Linked DNA regions of Kluyveromyces lactis. The protein of the gene in region 2 purifies or fractionates together with the protein of the main gene of each other region. This does not show direct contact. Links are inferred from orthologs where the notes say so. Each region holds a gene or a part of one and is shown on either strand. Other genes may lie near its edges. The genes, in order: COX4 and COX8.

What was found.
Region 1: the proteins of COX8 (region 2) and COX4 purify together in Saccharomyces cerevisiae (affinity purification with mass spectrometry; 4 studies listed by BioGRID, with this or other methods). This does not show direct contact. The link is inferred for Kluyveromyces lactis from reciprocal best matches to the Saccharomyces cerevisiae genes COX8 and COX4.

What each region holds. Positions count from the first base shown.
Region 1 is NC_006040.1:436,939-439,658, reverse strand, and holds COX4 (cytochrome c oxidase subunit IV), read right to left. Parts: upstream 1,007-2,720; coding exon 542-1,006; downstream 1-541. Other genes in the region: TPN1 (Tpn1p), read right to left, coding at 1,753-2,720. UniProt on the Saccharomyces cerevisiae protein: Component of the cytochrome c oxidase, the last enzyme in the mitochondrial electron transport chain which drives oxidative phosphorylation.
Region 2 is NC_006038.1:299,053-301,532, reverse strand, and holds COX8 (cytochrome c oxidase subunit VIII), read right to left. Parts: upstream 944-2,480; coding exon 722-943; downstream 1-721. Other genes in the region: COX9 (cytochrome c oxidase subunit VIIa), read left to right, coding at 1,974-2,156. UniProt on the Saccharomyces cerevisiae protein: Component of the cytochrome c oxidase, the last enzyme in the mitochondrial electron transport chain which drives oxidative phosphorylation.

The DNA.
Region 1 (2,720 bases), on a different chromosome or scaffold from region 2:
TTTGCAACTACTAAGTGTTTTGAATATTCGGTAATTACTTCTGTATCGGTAATTGTCATACTGACCCTCGGTGTCACCTTGAAACAAAGACTTTTTTTTTTGAAATTTTATTGATAAAATCGTACTTAATTTAAATAATGAGTTCTTACCTGTGAAATGTAGTATGTAGAGAAACAATGTGTAACATAAGTCTTTAATTGGTTTAAACGATCCGGGGGGGGAAAGAAATAGAGGCAATTGGTATAAAATATGAATCAATCATTCTTTTAAAATTCAATAGATCTGGCCTGTTCCCCGCTTTCCAAACATATAAACAAATCTTGATTATGTGCAGGACCAGTTCAAGTATATGTCCCCACTAAACTTTTTGTGTAATTTGTTGCTTCAGCTTGTGTAATTTATTATTTTGTAATATTTTAGAATAGGTTTGTGTATTTGACATTTGTATTGGAATTTTTAGAATGATATAGTGGTACACTGGTTGTTAATCCTTTTTTTACCAGGATAAGTGGGAATGATATGGAAGGAAGGATTAAAATGCTTAATGGTGACCTTCTTGAGGAACACCGACCATCTTAAGCTTGTATACACAACCGGTTTCCCAACATCTGGCGACTTGACCGTCGGTTGGCTTCAACCACATGACGTTGTGAGAACCAGCTGGGGAACCAGTGGCACCGACATAACGGTAGTCATCGTAGGATTCAACAATGATTGGGTTTTCCATGGTACCGATTCTGGAAGAGTCCAATGGCTTGGTGTCGAAAACTTCGATACCTTCCAATTTACCCAACAATTCCAATCTGGCTAAACCAGTGGCTTGGTCCAATTCGGTTGGAACTTCACCGTCTTTGGCACCAGGACCAATCAAAGTGTCAGCACCGTTAACTTCAGCCAACTTGGTAGCAGTCTTAACAACTTGTTGATCACCTGCAACCTTGGTGGTAGCAAAAGCTCTGGATGCTGGGCCGAACAACTTCGATAGGGATTGACGTAGAGACAACATTATTTCTTCTTTGTGATTGGATTGATAGGTGATAACTTAGATACTCCGATGTGTGAATCTAAAACGATGGAACAAAGGTATATTTGAATTGTAATGAACTAATCAATTAGCAATATATGACAAAAAGAACCACTTGGATACTGTAAGCTAGCTGAGACAGATAAGGTGATCAGTTGAATATATTCGCAAATGAAAGTAATCGGCGAAAGAAAACCCTCTGAAACAAACGTATGACTCTCTTGAACAAACTTGATAAAACGTCTTTAGCTACTTTCTAAAACTCTGAAATCACTGTTGAAAATATTATTCATATATATACATTCGGTTCCAATATCCTGCGAAAATCAAGAAATGAAAATTATCGCTTATAACAAAAAACGTACAAAAATCACATCATGTTTCCCAGTATGATTGGAGCAGGGAGAAGAAGGAAAGATACAAAAAAGGTGTCTACTCGTACATAGTGATGTACACATTTTTTAGCTGGAGTAGTCTTTCGTATTTGTTTCTATTTTGTTTCCGGCGAGAGTAGGATCTAGTGTGGGTGTTGTCAATTGAGTGAGAATTCTGCGATATGGTTGGCTAGAGGTCATGTGATTTATATAGGCAATGCCATGCCATTAATATTAAAGAGATTATTCATTTGATCTGGCGCGCGTCGCGTGACAGGTTATATACATATATGTGTGTACATATATGTGTGTTTCTATTATATGTGTATAATGTCAGATAATGGGGAAAATGGTTCACCTGCCAAATTTCTTCAGTTCGCAGTACCTTAGTGGTGGATATGATACTCCTGCGAAACCCATACCGAGCCACATACCTAAATCTCCGCCATACTCGCCAATCTTTGCGGCAAGTGGCCCCACGTAATACGTTTGACACATTCCAAGTACCACACCAGCAACACCGATGCAGAACGCAGCGGATGCAGCCAATCCTCTTGTGATGACTTCAGAGTTGTCCCATTCATCCCAGTTGTACCTGTGGATGTGCCTTGGTAATTTCCTTAGTTTATGATGTGGTTTCACTTCTATGTCATTGGGGAATTCCAATTTATATAGATGGTGGAACCAGTTTCTAAAGATGACGTTCTCTTCCACGAGTAAGATGAAGTACATGCTAATCCAGTAACCAATCATAGGTAGGAAATTTCCCAAGATGGTGGAAAAACTGTTTCTACCTACTAGCGCACATACGAGGTAAAAGATGGTACATCCGATAGCCCAGATCCAACGAGGCACCTTGGCTAACATCACACTTGATAATTGGATGGAGAATGCTGCAGAGTATGTGTTAACAATATTATTCGAGATTAAAGATAAGATCAATACAACGACCAAAAATTTCCCAAATCCATTCCAACGAGAGAAACCAGCATTCATGAGACCACCCATCCCATATTCATCATATGCAGCTTGCCAAGGTTCGTAGGACAGTGAACATGATGCCAGTAGAAGACCCAATACACCAACGAAAGTGGTTGGTACCGCAGTTCCGAAAAATGTCAATAAGAAGACTTGAATCTGAGGAGTGTCCTCGGGGAACAAGATATAGTAATCTGCTGTGATGGAACCCCAAGTTGATGTGATACTGTAACACAAAGAAAAGAAGGATAACCAGCAACCTTTCACAGTCAGTGAATCAATGTCACTATTACTGAATTCGTACAAGTACTTGAACTTGTCACTTGCTGAGATGTACAACAACA
Region 2 (2,480 bases):
AATATTTGTCAGTTGATAAATAAGCTGATTTTGACGTTTTTTGAATTTCTGTTAATTAAAGACCTATACGTTTAAATTTAAACATATTGATAAAAATAAATGATGTTTCTGACAGTATTTCATGTTGATAATATAGTATTTCTTTGAGCTGATAGTCGGAAGATAGAAAAAAATGAGGGAAACGATTGAAGACTCCCGGTGAAACTTGATTCCAAATCCACTTATCTCTTGTGCTATTTTTCTTTTAAGATTATTATTAGATCTCACGAACGGTCCAGGAGTATGATAATGTTAATTCCTTTGTTATCTGTTTGTGATTTTTTGTTTGCATGAGTCTCGTCAAAGTGTCGATGAAGTCACTAATTTCAACTTTAGCTTCAGATTGCTTCGAACCGTTGCTTTAGTTTTTGATTTCGACGAGTGCAGGTATACATCACTCTCGAGAGATAAATAAATGTGAAATGAAGAGTTGAGTAATATTCTATTTTGCTGTCTGGTTTTGGTTATTGTGATGTGCTTGGTATTTTCTTTAAACCTCGGACTGACTATTCATTATTCATCAAGTAATAGAATAGAATATGTTCGCCGGCTGGCTGCAATAGTGCGGACATTTGCAGATGGATGGAATGTGTAGCAATGATGACATGAAAATAAAACGAAAATTATTGTGAAAGGATACGATATAACAAAGAGGGCAGGAAATTTATTTCTATCCACTCATTTAGAAAGCACCAAACTTCTTCAATTGCACGTAAGAAGAGATGAATGGAACAGCAAAACCTAGAGCAAAGAAACCGAAGTGGATGAAAGCGTATGGGATCTTTCTGTTGTGAATCTTAACTGGGATGTTCGAGTAAACACCTTCCTTGAAGTGGGCACCACATTGCTTGGAAGTGGCAGAGAAGGCTCTTCTGGTGGCTAGTCTGGTAACTTGGGAAAACATGTTTTGATTGGAATATTTGCTGTGGTATTGGACGCTAGGTTATCGAAACAAAGTTATTAATATCAACAATAAACTATAAACCATCCTTAACAAGAGTTGTAAATTGCAGTGCTAATTGTATTGAAATATGAAAAAAAAAATAATACGATATATTTTTTTTACCTTTCTATCGCTGCTAAGAAGAGAAACAGGATTAGGAAAAAGTCGTGCAATAACAAAAAAAATTGACAGAAGTGGGAAAACGGCTCAGAAAGTAGTGAGACACAAACGGAGTATCCGGGTAATGGTGTAAGATTTCCGACTTTCACTCTTAAAGCAAAGCTCTGCTGTGTCTTCGTGGAACGTGATTTCCCCGTGTACATATTTTTCTGAATACAGACACACTCACGTCGAATCCTGGGATATCATTGGCTAATGGGAATTTCGGTTTTAACGCGAGATCCTTTCTTGTCTACTTGTACTAACTACACTAAGATGATAAGAGGCACATGACCTGCGATCAATGGCTGCCCCAGAGTTTCTCTGACGGGAAATCTTCCCTCTTTGCCAATCCGGTGCTGTCAGTATTAGAGGAAGAAAAGCGATACCTCTCTCTTGGCTATATTGATGGGCAACCGATAGTAGGTTCTACCGGAACCTACTGAGAGTCTCAATCAGATATTGTCTTGAAAATCCACACTACAGTATGACTCGGTATTACTGGAGTTCTGAATGTCAATTCCCTCTTGGTGACAGCTTGAAAAATCGAGAAACTTTAAAAATTAAAAAAAATTGAAATAAACTTACCTGGCTCTACTATCCATTACAGGTTTTGGTTAATTTTTTTTCTAACTGTCTTCGGTTCTTTACTTTAGTCGTATGGTTTTTCTGATTTTCTTTTACTTCTTGAAATTTTGATATTTGATTAGTACTTTGTATATCTTTCCTCTGTCCCCTCTTAGTGTTGACTTTAGCCTTTTTCATTAGCTGTTGCTATCCTTAACGGTTTGTTCATCTCACATCAATCACTCTCACTTCACATCAAAGAATAATGTCTGCAATTGCTCCAATCACTGGTACTATTAGAAAGAGAATCTTGGCCGATATCACCATCGGTTTCGCTATTGGTGGTGCTATGGCTTCCTATTGGTGGTGGGGTTTCCACAAGAACATCATCAACAAGAGAGAAGCTTACTACGCTAAGTTGGCTGAACAAAAGGCTGCTGAAAACTAAGGACTGAATAAAAAAACGCAATACTTTGTGTTTTTCTATCTAAATCAACATATTCGTGTGCGGCCATGAGGTTTGAAACCTCTGTGTCCATAATACGGAGAATTGTATTCGATCCTTTTTTTCCTCCCAATTACCTATCGTTACTATAACATCCCACAACCTTTTATTTCTCTATTTATGTCAACACATACACAGATTAACAGTCATTCTGATGAATTATTGGTTAAAAATCATTAATGGTATTTTTTTTTATTCGGTACCCTTTTATCATGCTAATACGTTCTCATATTATGACTTCTTCTCCTATCAGTATTATTATTCATG